Linked DNA regions of Caenorhabditis elegans. The protein of the gene in region 2 interacts with the protein of the main gene of each other region in a pairwise test. Each region holds a gene or a part of one and is shown on either strand. Other genes may lie near its edges.

Region 1 (5,295 bases), on a different chromosome or scaffold from region 2:
GGATCAGAACATCTGTCACTTTAGGTCAGGAAAAACTGAAACTTCTGATAAAACTACAGTAACTTCTGATACTAAAGATTAATTGATAACTGTATCAATAAAACAATGACACCTTTGGAGGCCATATTCAATCTTTTAGGCCACTTTTTGTTAGCAGAAGAGACCGAAAGTTCTCAACATAATGGTCATTGATACCGTAATCCAACCTCACTGATCAGATCATTCGTCACTTTTCAAAATAAGTGTAGCAACCTGTTCCAGACGGAAAAACAAAAAATTGGTATTGTTATCATAATATAGACATATTAATAAGAGGTGTGATGACTGAATACAATAGTAAACAGGGATTGCTTTTTGTGAAAAGTTAAAAAAACGAACGTGAGGGATTTAATTTCATGAAACTACAGTTGGAAAAGTTGTGACGTCACACATGAGAGTGCAATTTTGGTAAGGACAAGTACAAGAGCAATTACCTAGTAAGGGTTTGCAAAGTTCAGATCTGGACGGAGTTCTAGCGAATACAAAAGATCAGAGAATGAATTTTAAAAGAAACAAATAAATATAAATCAAAGTCTTCTTTTTGAAGCAACTTCCGGTCTATCAAATCCTATCTTGATTACGGTAACTTATAGATCAAATTCAAAAAGTACAAGAAGTACGGTCAGATTCAAAGATCATTTTTGAAACAAGGAAATGTTTCTAAAGACTTTCACGTGGATTCATGTATACATATTTACAGTTTTATATGTCAAATATCACATGAAAATCTCTGTACTTTTCTTAAAAACAATAGGCGGAGCTTATAACCTTTAGAGATGTGATCAACGTCATTTCTATCTTTATCTAATTGATTGATAAGTCTCTAAAAATAGAGAATTTGATATGAGAACTGGTGTTAGAAAATCTTTAAAGAATAGAAAGAAGATGACTTTTGAAAGTCTCTTTCACGTTATCATTTTGAGACATAATTGGAAAAATTAGAGAGATTAGAGAAAAGGAAATTGAATGATAAGGAGATGAAAGTGATATCTTTGAAGGTTCAAAACAACTTTTCCACTTCGAGAAGATTCGTCTATAAAAAGGAAACAATTTTATGAAGGGATCTTTGTGAGTTTATAGAATTCTAGGGGTTGTAGTAGCTTTACCTTTCCAAAAAATGTTGTATTTCAGTTATGCCTTTTTCAAATGAAACAGATCCGCCAAGAAGTTCCAAACTGCAAATGATGTTTGATTTTCGAACTAATAGTTCAAAGTATCCCAGTCTAATTTATTATACACCGGAATTTTTTTATGATTCAACAAATAAAAAAGTGAAGGCGAAATCGGGGAATACCCTCAAGAAGATACACAACATTGCAGGGAAACAAAGGAGAAAAGTCTGGTGTTGGAGCTAAATGTCTTCAAATAAAAGTTACAAAATCGGTATTAATTGGTTGGAATCTCCATAAAATATTATTCAATTAATTTTTCTAAAAAAAAAACACCTTCAATATATTTTGATGAATAGAGCAAAAATCTACTTTTCGTCCTTCCTTAAAATATTATTTTTGAATTACCGCCAACAGTGGCCGTGGCCGCGCACATTTGAATTTTCTAGGCCAATGGTTCAATTCGAGAAAATTTCACCGATTTTTAATGCTTATTTTTTCATTATCCTTTTATCCATTTTTAGATCATAATTTCAATAAAGATTGTTATAAATATTCTTCTTTAATAATTATAAATAATTTTAGAATGGCAGAAGAACCGAAAGGAGTACCGCTGTCAGAGCTCAGCTTGCAACAACTCGGAGAACTCCAGAAGAATTGCGAACAAGAATTAAACTTCTTCCAGGAGTCTTTCAATGCTCTTAAAGTTTGTTGAATTTCGTATTTGTTTTTCAAATTAATAAAAATATTTGCAGGGTCTTTTAACGCGGAACGAAAAAAGTATTTCTGCTTTGGACGATGTGAAAATTGCAACTGCAGGACATACAGCTCTCATTCCACTTTCTGAATCGGTATATTTTCATTGTACTTTTTTAATAATTAATGATTATTCAGCTCTACATCCGTGCTGAACTATCTGATCCATCAAAGCATTTGGTGGAGATCGGAACTGGATACTTCGTGGAGCTGGACCGCGAGAAAGCCAAAGCAATTTTTGACCGTAAAAAGGAACATATTACAAAGCAGGTACGAACATCGAAAGTGTCTTACTTGAGTATTTAATCTTATTTATATCAGGTTGAGACAGTTGAGGGAATTCTGAAAGAGAAGCGAAGAACTCGGGCCTATATTTCGGACGCATTCCAGACCAAGGTTCAGTCTCAACTCGCCACGATGAATACACAATAAATGTCTGCCGAGAAATCTACTTCTGAAAATCTCTTGCTTTTCCGATATTCAAATTGTTGTTATCAATTTTCGATTTTAATACTACACCTTGCATTGATTCTTGTTCAAAATAATATGTTTCTTGCTTCTTTTTTGTATTCTAGCTAGTGGTTCGCGTTCAAACGCCTTGAGTACTTACAGTTCGAAAAAATAATTACTTTAAAATCTAACTTCAGAAGTAATGAGAGTTCAACCGGTGACAAACTGCGAGAAGGCTGTGATATTAGAGGCGCTGAAAATTGGAAAAGTAAACTGGTTTCATTGGATTTATTTTTAATTTTTTTTTCAGAGATTTGATTTTCGTAGTCTGGAAGAATTTCGGGATGTGAAGTTAGTGGTCGGAGCAGAAGTTGGAACTGCAATTTGCACTATTGGAAATACAAAGTTCGTTAGTTTTTCCTTATTATTTATAGTCATAAATTTTGAATTTTCAGAGTAATGGCTGCAGTAAGTGCCGAAATCGCTGAACCATCGTCAATGAGACCACACAAAGGAGTTATTAATATTGACGTTGATTTGAGTCCAATGGCTAATTATGGTTAGATTCCTATTTTTGATTAACAATTATCCTTTTTTTAGCCAATGAGCATGACCGTCTCGGGAGCAAAGGAATGGAACTGATTCGTCTATTGGAGCTTATTATTCGTGATTCTCGGTGTATTGATGTTGAGGTGAATTGAGCTGTAGAGAACTTAAATTACAAAAATAAATTCCAGGCTCTCTGCATTCGCGCTGGAAAAGAAATTTGGAAAATTCGAGTAGATGTCCGAATTCTTGACGAAGATGGAAGTCTTCTTGATTGTGCTTGTCTCGCTGCTATCACAGCTCTTCAGCATTTTAGACGACCAAATGTCACTTTGGAACCACATCACACTCTTATCGTGAGTTTGAATTTTTTTAAAGTTCTTAAGTAATCACAAATTTCAGTATTCGGAATACGAAAAAGCACCAGTTCCATTGAACATTTACCATATGCCAATTTGTACAACCATCGGATTATTGGATAAAGGGTTTGATTTCTGTCACAAATTCATTTTAATTTTTAATTTTCAGACAAATTGTAGTCATCGATCCAACAGATAAAGAAACTGCATGTCTTGATGGATCAATTGTAGTTGCCTGCAATAAGCGTCGCGAAGTTTGTGCCCTCCATCAGAGCACAAATCTCATTTTATCAACAAAGCAGGTATTCAATTTCGCATTTCAAATTTTCGAATATGACTTTAAAATTATTAAGATCGAGCGTTGCGTAAAGTTGGCAATGGCTCGTGCGGAAGCGCTCACTGCAGTTGTTAGTGACGTCATTAAACAGGATCAAATTGAAAGGTAACATTAGATTTTCAAATTTTGAAATTATTATTCAATTGTAAAATATTTCAGAAGCGCATTCAAACGTCCGGATGGTTTTGCAATCACCACTCCATCACTCATTCTCACAGCTGGAACTACAGCTTCTCGTCAAATTCGTGCTCCTGTAATCAAAACTGAGCCTGAGTCGTTCACACAGAGAAGTCTCTACCAACCAAGTGTTATTCTTAATGAGAATCCATTGAGTGTCGGATCAGTCAAGCAAGAAGATGTTGATGAGGAGACATTGCTCGCCGAGCAACTTACAACTATTCAGAATAGTGTTGGACAAGTTGAAGTGACTGAGAAGCAGACTGTTGCAGTTTCCAGCCGAAAGGTTTGTGAAATTAAGATTTTATTTAAACATTTTTTTACTATTTATTACTGTTTAAGCGCGAAGTAGAGGAAGTCAACGATCTTCTTGACGGACTCGACGATGACGACGAGGAGGAAGAAGTTCAAACAATGACACTGGGATCCGAAACAGTATTGAACGACGTGCCAATGGAAGAAGCTCCAGATGCCGAAGATAGCCTCGTGAATGCTAAAAAGAAAAAGAAGAAGTAGTTTAGATGCCGCTAATTTCTTTAATTTGTTGTCTTTTTCATTCCTTCCCATTTTTATTTGTTCGCAATGTTGCCTTGTTGTGTTTATGAATCGTTTAAAGTTTCATTCGGGAAGTACGGGATTCAGTTGAATAAGACATTTAGCAGCTAAATATTCCTGAACAGAGATTGACATGAGATAGAGAAAAAAACCAATGCAATATTTATATTATTAAGAAACCATGAGATCATGAGAATGCCTACCGTTGTTTTAATATCTCGTAGCGAAGGCACCTAAATCTCTCTTCGCCGCATGCTCTCTGCTTCCGCTACTTTCGTGCCAGAAAGTAGGCATTCTCATGAACTGGTGGTCTCTTAATACGCTGATACGAAATTTTGCGATTTCTGTTCAAAAAATACGGTACCGGTCTCGATAAGACAAGGTTTTGTAATTTAAAAATGCTGTGCGCCTTGGAAGATTACTGTAATTTTAAACTTTCGTAGCTACGAAAATTTCCTAAATTTTTCGTATTATAAATATATTAGCTTAGCAACGAGATTTTAAAATTACAGTAATCCTTAAAGGCGCACACCCTTTTCAATAAATTTTAGTCGTGTCGAGACCAGGTACCGTATGTTTGACGCAAAAACAGCGAAACATTGCGTTTAAGTATAATGCTCCACAAACACCATGAAATCATCATTACACCATGATGCTGCTCGTTTCGTTGCCAAGAGGGCGACAGAGGAAGAATCCCTGTCACACCTCGATCGGGGGAAGTGCCTAATCTGACCCTGAAGGATATACCTGTCAAATTAGTTTTAGCTAAAAACTTATGCATCTTCCGTGTAAATTCAAAAAAAAAGTTCACGCAAACTCTTATCAAGATTCATTTTAAAAGAGTGTTCGATTTTTAAAAAAATCAGTTTCTAATATTTTCGTCGTACAAATCGGACGGAACTCGGATCACCATAAAATAAAATGAGCAAGAAAATGGATTCAAAAAGAAAGAAGGAACGCTCTCGTA
Region 2 (7,877 bases):
ATGGAGATTTCTGGATTTTCAAATTCGTTTTTACTCATTTATAATTACCTTTGAAGCAGTAACCATAAGCTTTCCAATAAGCGCAGCATCCGAATCAACGGCATTCTCGAGCATATCAATGCGACGCTTAGGGATCACAAGAAAATGAATTGGAGCTTGTGGAGAGACATCATGGAATGCGAGAGCCTTAAATAAATATTTTATGTGATCGTTTGCCTGATCTTACATACCTCATCATCTTCAAAAATGATTTTCGCTGGAATCTCTTTTCGAATTATTTTTCCGAAAAGAGTGTCGTTGGCTTGAACATCTTTGTTAATTGCCGCCAAGTGGGCTTTATCTACTTCCGACATGTTTCTCTTTGTAAACCTGAAAAATGGTGGAATCGATAAAGACACCTTGCCTACAGTAACCCTGACCTAACTGGATTACGGTAAGCAAGACGCAAAGCGGTTTTAACCAAAGAGGAAGCCATACTAAAATATTGAAAAATGGGCAAAAAATAACCAATATGCAATATATTTCAAACGATGAAAACGCTAGACAACGAGAAATAAACAATAAACATGTGAAAATAAATGCTTTAATCAGTAAAATGATACAAAAAATAATCAAAAAAGTTAACACAAGAACAAGAATTAATGTACCAGAATACAATTTGAACCCATAACGTGATTTGTCGATTGTGCAGTTTTTACTTTCGAACTGAAATAATAATTTGAATAGAAAACCAAGAATTCTCCTAGGTTTCTTCGAAAACTCGGTTTCCCTCTTACTTACCATTCATGAAATATTGATTAGAAGACAATGGCGGAAGCTCTCGAATATCTCCATTTGTGAACTGTTGATAAGCTTCACCTCCCTTTCCAATATGTAATGAAACATTTCCAATTGGTTTTCGATGAACAACCCACGCGATTAGGTCAAAATCTGCTGATAATTTCGAATTCAAATGATTCAGAAGACGTTCTTTTGGAATTGTGACAAGTACTCCATTTGTTGCTTTCAAATAATAAAAATGATGATCCGAGTTCATCTCTGTGTTGTCATGATATTGCTCCACTACTAGTTCAGGTTTTGAAAGTGCGATTTTTACTTTCATTTCAAGCACTCCTCCGAAGCATCTGACCGAGTTTTTAAAGCAATCAATTTTAAGGAGAGAATCTGGCGTGTCTGGTTTCTTTTTCACTTAAAATTAAAGTTTTTTTAAAACATTGGTAAATTGTAAAATACCTGCAATATGTGTATATGGAATCTTGAAAATGAGCCTATCTTTTGTTTCAATTCTACGAGGCAAGATATCGAAGAATGCCACGTCTCCGAGTTGAGGGGATCTTTCCAATCCTTCACACGATCTTTCTTGAAGCAAAACGTTTATAACGTCTCTTTTGGCTGTGTACAAAATTGCAAAGCCATCGATTTTTTGCACAACGGTGCATAAAGCAGATTGAGGCTGAAATATGGTGATGAAGATTAATATTATTGTTCTGGCATTACGTACTTTTTCGGAATCAGTTTTATCTTGACGAAGCAGTTGAAGCATCGTTGGAGCTAAATCTTTAATAAACGGTCTCATCGGAATATTAGATGTTCCACGTGTTCCGTATGTATCTTCATCATCAATTTCATCTTCATCTGATAACTGATTTGAATCAATAACTGGTGCTGCTCGACTTGAGATTGTAGTCTGGGACAAGGATGAATCAACTTGATTCAATTCGATACTTTGGCTTCGAAAAGTTTCCGGAGGTATTTCCCGATTCTCTGACACAACTCTAGAGGAATTGTACGAATCAGATGTCTGCGAGTTCATTTGAGAATGCACGTCTTCTTGATGTTGACTTGATTGTTGATCTTGTACGTCGGTTTCGGGTGTTTGAACATATCCATTACCAGTCATAATCTAAAAATGTGATTACTTGAAAAATTCTGAACTATAAGTCACATACATCCAACAGTCTTGTATCATGAAGATACTGTACATCAGAATCAACGACTGGATTCGGGAGCTGAAATTATATTATGTAAACTGCAGGAGGTTGTGGCTTATATGTTCTGGGAAATTTTGATAAGCAAAAACCAAAATGTGAACAATTCAAAATGAACCAGGACACTTTTGCCACATACTGATTGATATCCATTTCGGCTTACAGCATCACAGGTGTGTAGCTTTTGTGGATCTTCATGCACACTCAATGCGACCCAACCTGCCAGAGATGCTTGAGCCTGCAATATTTTTATTTTAATAGTTTTTTTTAAAATCGATAACTTACTTCAACAATAAAACTGCGTCCATCATAGTGTTGACATGATGATTTGATCAGACTAAAGTCGTCAATAATATGATCATAGGAAATATCGTAACTGGTGAAATCATACAAATTATTTTTCCGATCTACTATTACATCAAATCGAGCTGTTATCTGAAAAATTATAAAAATCCGTACTCTTTATTTATTAAAACTTTTTCCATTTGAGATTACCAAAATTTCTCCTTCATCGTTAGCCTCATACTTCGGAAAGAATCTCGCCGATGAATTTCTGTGATTCGGCAAAACGTCCCAGTTTTCATATCCACAACTATTTGAGGAATCCAATACGTATTGTCCCACGAAGTTCTGACAAACAGTTAATCTAAAATTGCTAGTTAATAAAATCAGATAAAATAATGTCTAACTTTAGCCAGCGTCCTATCTGCAGGCTCTGAATATTTCCACTGATTTCGACAAATCCATCGATATTTTTGGTATAGAAAAGATAATTTCTGTTTCCATATTTATTGTAACCAACTACCAATCCATATATTTGGGTTTGCGGTTGTTGAATTTGTGGTTGGGGATTATACGACGATGATGGCTGACTTTGAGCATAATAGTGATTTGGAGGAAAATAAGAATGGTACCCATTATGCATCTGAATAGCAAGAAAATGAATATAGTTATAAATCAGAACTGATGTAATTAGCAATGACTTTTAACATAGACGTGAGCACAAATGGTATAAAACAGTTTGAAAGCATTTATTGTAAATGGTTCCCCGAAACAAGAAACTTATTTTTTTCATAGAAAAATTAATGTGATCTTCTCGTTTCGGAGAAACACCAGAGATGAAGAATAGGCAAAAAATAACAAATTAAGAGCAAAAAATATGAGATTCATAGAACAAACTGGATTATTTCTTCTGTGCTTGGGCTGCTGCTTGAGCCATCATCTGGAAGCTTTTTTGCATATTCATCACCTTGTCTCGCTGTTCCGTACACTTCTTCGAAATGTCTGAGATGCTGGCTTCCACTCGTTTGCTGAAAATTGTAATTAAAGTTTTGTTGCATTTTAAAACGTTTAAAGGTAAAATTTATTTGTTATTTTTATTTGTTTCGTGTAAATCAATAGCGTGCAAGAAGTAATACTAAAGAAACATGATAAACGTTACAACTCACGTCTCAGAGTCGATAAACTCAAGCCGTTTCTCCACAGTCGATCGAGCCTCCTCCAAATCTTGACGAACAAGAACCGCTCCGATGAGTTTGTAGACTTTCGAGTCGGATTCCATCAGATCAAGCTCCTGAATGAAGATAACATGAAAACTGAATCTCAAACTTTTTCTTACCGCTTTCACATTTTTACTCTCAGTTAATCTCATTTCCATCTCTTGGCGACTCGTGAAGTACTTTTCGCGGTCTATAATTAAACGATTGAAAAGATTGTTTAAATTAACAGTTACTAACCTTTTTCAAGAGTTCTGAGCTTGTTAACTTCTTCTTCGAATTTAGCCATATCAGCCATTTTGATCGTTTTTAGTGGGAAAAGAAGTGAAAGAAAACAAAATTGTGTTTAAAAATCTAGAAGAAAAACGGGTTCTGCGCCATCCTTCAAAGCGCCAGCAAGCTTTCTTGACGCATTTTCCGTTTTTGGCGGAAGTTCAAAACTGGATTGTATATGTTAACTTCAATTTTGTTATGCTTTTGCTAAAATTTCATTCAATAGTGACAATACGAAATATTTTCAATATAGATATTTCCAGAATCGTGAAAACCAACTTTGCATGGAATCTTGATAATATTCTTCGCGTATCTGAAAGTTTTAGCTTAATTATATACAATAATTAAATAAGTTTCTTGTAAGTTCAGGGTATTTCCCTAGGTTCTATAAACATAAAAATATATTCTTACCTGTTTTGTCTTTTTCAATTCTGACTCTAGTTTTGATAATTGAATTTCAGAAGAACGAAGTCGGTCTCCAGCAGCGTTGAAATGCTGGAAAAAAAATCAATTTTGTTTTAGCCTTGATCCACTTTTTTGAAAGTCTAAAAAAAATTGAATAAAATATTTAATATACACTGTATCCAAATATACTAATAAATCATAAAACAAATCGTAAAACAGAAACCATAAACTCACCGATTTTTCAATTTGTTGTGTTTGAATAAAATCATTTGAATCGGTATATAACTGCACTTTGATTGCATTTCTTGACTCCCGATAATCACTCATCACATTCTCAACTGCTTTTTGTCCAGATTCAGCGTCTTGAAATACTTTCTCGAATATTTCTTGGCGTTTACGAAATTCTTTCTTCTGATTTTCCGTTTTTCTGAAATTGTTTGAAAATTCAACAAATCAGAATGTTCACTTTATTTTATAACAAAACGAAATTTGAAATTGCAACTTTTCTAATCTTTACAATCACTCTAAAGTGAAAACTACAAGACCAATAAGGGATTCGCTCCGCCTACGTTCAGACCAATCAGTGACGCTACTCCGCCTTCATCCGTTGATTGTTTCAGTAGTAGGCGGAGATAGTCGCCGATTGGTTCTTATTAGGAAAGTCGCGTTTCACGTGGTGTCAGGCTGTCTCATTGCGGTTTGATCTACGAAAAATGCGGGAATAGTGTTCCAGAAAATTGTGACGTCCGCACGCTCTTCACCGTGCGAAATCAGATGAGATGTCTGCGTCTCAATTCCCGCATTTCATGTAGATCAAACCGAAATGAGACGTTCTGGCTCCACGTGGCGTTTACGTTAGGTTTTTATCGCTGCTCTTTGTTGATACTACAGAAATTGAAAATTTTCGAGTACTTCAAGACAAACCCCAATTCAATCAAAACGTTGCCAACTATTTTATAGGGATCTTAAATAGTTCCAGATTAGTATTAATTCATGCTACCCAAACTTTAAGTTACGGAAAAAAAAAAGTTTTGAAACTTAGTGATGTAATGCCAAATATCAAAGTTTACCTCACTTTAATACGAATATACCTATTTGATTATGTTTCTGAGAAACATTTCAATTTAATAGCTAAAAACCAACATTCCACCTACATCGATTATCATATCAAATTGCTTTTTTCCACCTGTTTTATGAAAATCGGTAAAAATGGTTGAAGAAATTGACCAACAAACATGACTTTTTGCAATTAAATATTTTTTTATGAATAACAAAGCAAAAGAAATAAGTTCCTTATAATTAAAAAAGGAAATTACTCCTACCTTTTTGCAAGCTCCGCCTCTTCTCTAATACGATGCTGCTCCAATTGTTCAGCTACCTTCTTGAGCTCAATTTCCCTTCGCTTTTTTCTCCATTTTGTACGTTCCCGTTCTCCACGTTCACTTTTTGTCGGTGACGACGATGGCGATGACTTTTTTGTTCTGAAACGATAATTGGATGGTCCCCCGTCCTAAAAATGGACATCTGCCGTTGATCGACAATTAGTTTGGCGCCGAATGGGTGCCGACCTCCTCTGAAGAACTCACCTAGCGAGCTCTTCTTTCTTTTTTCTTTTTTCGATACCGCCCGTTTTTTTGGCCATTTTGCATTAATTTTCGGAAATGATTCAAAGTTTGCAAATTTCTTAACTAGATATTCAAAATTTTGATTCACGTGTACTCCAATGAATTGCAAAATTGAAAAGTGACACCTCAACTTTTATGAAAAGTTAGGAATAATTTGTTACTTCCAACTGTGTTGGTCTACAAAGCATTCTATATATAATACATTATATTTAAACCAGCCGTGGACCGCACCTACGGCGCGGCCCCCGACTTTTTGAGAAAACACATTAGATATACGGTGTCTATCGCGGACCTCGATCGATGTCTGCTGCGCATTTAGCATAAGGTTTCCCAAAATTTCGTTGCTCTGATCAAAGATCAAACTACATAGGGACAGAAGGACACGCGCTTTATATATAGTAAATGATGATATAATGAGCCAACACAAAATATGTATCATTAAATCATTATATCATTAATGATATTTATCATTCGAATATTAAAACCAAATATATTTTATTAACTAGTTGATACCACAAAACTCTGCAAGTTAATTTGATGGCTTTGAAGATTTGAATATCATTTTTAAATATCCAATTCATGATAATAAGTTATTTCATATTTATATAAGGAATGAAACAGTTTTATATTTGTTCAGCTCTCTGGATAGTTTTGAAACTCTTGCTAAACATTTCAAAAAACATTTAATACATTACCACTTCTAAAATGTCTCATCCATTCTATTTTCTGTTTTTCCGACTCCCACTTGCTAATAGATCCGTGCCATTTGTAGTATTTATTTTCTGCAACACAAGATTTCGAAACCAGTTGAAAGTAGAGTTCCAAAGCGTGCCTAGAAACCACTTTACGTCAATGTGAGTCAATATGTACACGAAAAATTGAGGAAAAAGTGAAATAGAAGATTCTCGGAGTTGGGGCCAACTTATCACGCCAGTGTTACCCGTTAGTTTCATTGTTATTGTTTATGTTACTGTGTATTTACGTTTGGTTTTTTTGCCACGGAAACTTCTCATATACTTTATTCATAAAAATTACGTTGGACGAAGGGCGTCTCAATATACATTTTAGTTGGCAGCTTGCATCTAACTGCAATTAAAAATGTGTTACCGTATATTTAAACATTGCAGTCTCCATCCACCTTCATAGATTGAGCATTCATAATTGATTTACACTGCGCACAGCTAGATCCTCGCAGCATTGGTTTTGTGGACGCACGAATCGAAATCTAAGATTTAACTAACGGAAGCTTCTGGAAATTAGTAATAACCAGAGAATATGCGGTGACTAAAATGTGTTTTTTGTTGTTCTATAGTTTTGAAATTGAACATTAATCCATGAGAAACGAAGACATGAGCTTCCAGCATGCAGGATTGAGATGAAGGTAATTTGAATGAGTTACTATTAAATATGTTCGTTTGAAAGAAATCACATGCGAGGGTATTTCTTGAGCAACAACACGCTCGAGTGCAAAGTCTACAATTAATACAAAATGTTCATTAATTGGAATAATTTTTGACGAAAACGTTAGGCTGTTGAATTACTGTAACAATAAGATTAAATTAGAACATATAAGTGAATCGTACAAAAATATTGCTAATGAGAAAATTATTGGTTTTCAACAACTAAAATTACTTAAAACTAAATACTTATCTTTTTAAAATTAATAAATGCCTCCCAGTTATTTTAAAACATATGAAATCACATGAACCTCCCCATTCATACAAATGTTTCAAGTTCATATGACTCTTGGCTCCTTGCTCCAGATCGGAGCCAACTGTTGCCACTTTGCTGAGTCATACTTCATCAGTTCCCCTTTTCAGAATTTTTCATCATTTTTTCTTTCGTTTTAGAACATCAAAAGTCTTTTTGCACTTTAAACTTTTTTCGGCAACTTTTTACTTTCTTACGCTTACGCAACACAATTCCCTCAAACTTTTCGTTTCTTCCTGGTTTTTTTCAATAGTTTGTGTGTGTTACTAAAAAAAAATCGAGATCGAGGGTCGGAGAAGGCCTACAAAAACCCGTTCGTGAACCATGGCATATTTGCACAGTACATAATAGTGCAGGCACTGGGTGACTGCCTCCAGTGT

What was found. Proteins that work in one complex are often made in the same cells at the same time.
Region 1: the proteins of pfd-6 (region 2) and pfd-5 interact in a two-hybrid assay, tested with the Caenorhabditis elegans proteins (2 studies listed by BioGRID).

The regions. Positions count from the first base shown.
Region 1 is NC_003281.10:7,195,323-7,200,617, reverse strand, and holds pfd-5 (putative prefoldin subunit 5), read left to right. Parts: upstream 1-1,733; 5' UTR 1,734-1,734; coding exon 1,735-1,854; intron 1,855-1,903; coding exon 1,904-1,999; intron 2,000-2,042; coding exon 2,043-2,174; intron 2,175-2,225; coding exon 2,226-2,336; 3' UTR 2,337-2,467; downstream 2,468-5,295. Other genes in the region: exos-9 (Exosome complex component RRP45), read left to right, coding at 2,557-2,622, 2,665-2,759, 2,810-2,913, 2,955-3,046, 3,092-3,256, 3,303-3,385, 3,429-3,561, 3,613-3,701 and 2 more; F37C12.18 (CDT1 domain-containing protein), read left to right, coding at 5,250-5,295. UniProt on the Caenorhabditis elegans protein: Binds specifically to cytosolic chaperonin (c-CPN) and transfers target proteins to it. Binds to nascent polypeptide chain and promotes folding in an environment in which there are many competing pathways for nonnative proteins.
Region 2 is NC_003279.8:7,279,959-7,287,835, forward strand, and holds pfd-6 (putative prefoldin subunit 6), read right to left. Parts: upstream 3,805-7,877; 5' UTR 3,783-3,804; coding exon 3,725-3,782; intron 3,678-3,724; coding exon 3,607-3,677; intron 3,562-3,606; coding exon 3,437-3,561; intron 3,299-3,436; coding exon 3,172-3,298; 3' UTR 3,006-3,171; downstream 1-3,005. Other genes in the region: hint-1 (Histidine triad nucleotide-binding protein 1), read right to left, coding at 49-186, 231-353; rde-2 (SH2 domain-containing protein), read right to left, coding at 695-705, 781-1,188, 1,234-1,453, 1,502-1,903, 1,950-2,009, 2,128-2,226, 2,274-2,423, 2,484-2,634 and 1 more; F21C3.6 (DUF4200 domain-containing protein), read right to left, coding at 4,002-4,070, 4,169-4,252, 4,397-4,589, 5,485-5,643, 5,749-5,804. UniProt on the Caenorhabditis elegans protein: Binds specifically to cytosolic chaperonin (c-CPN) and transfers target proteins to it. Binds to nascent polypeptide chain and promotes folding in an environment in which there are many competing pathways for nonnative proteins.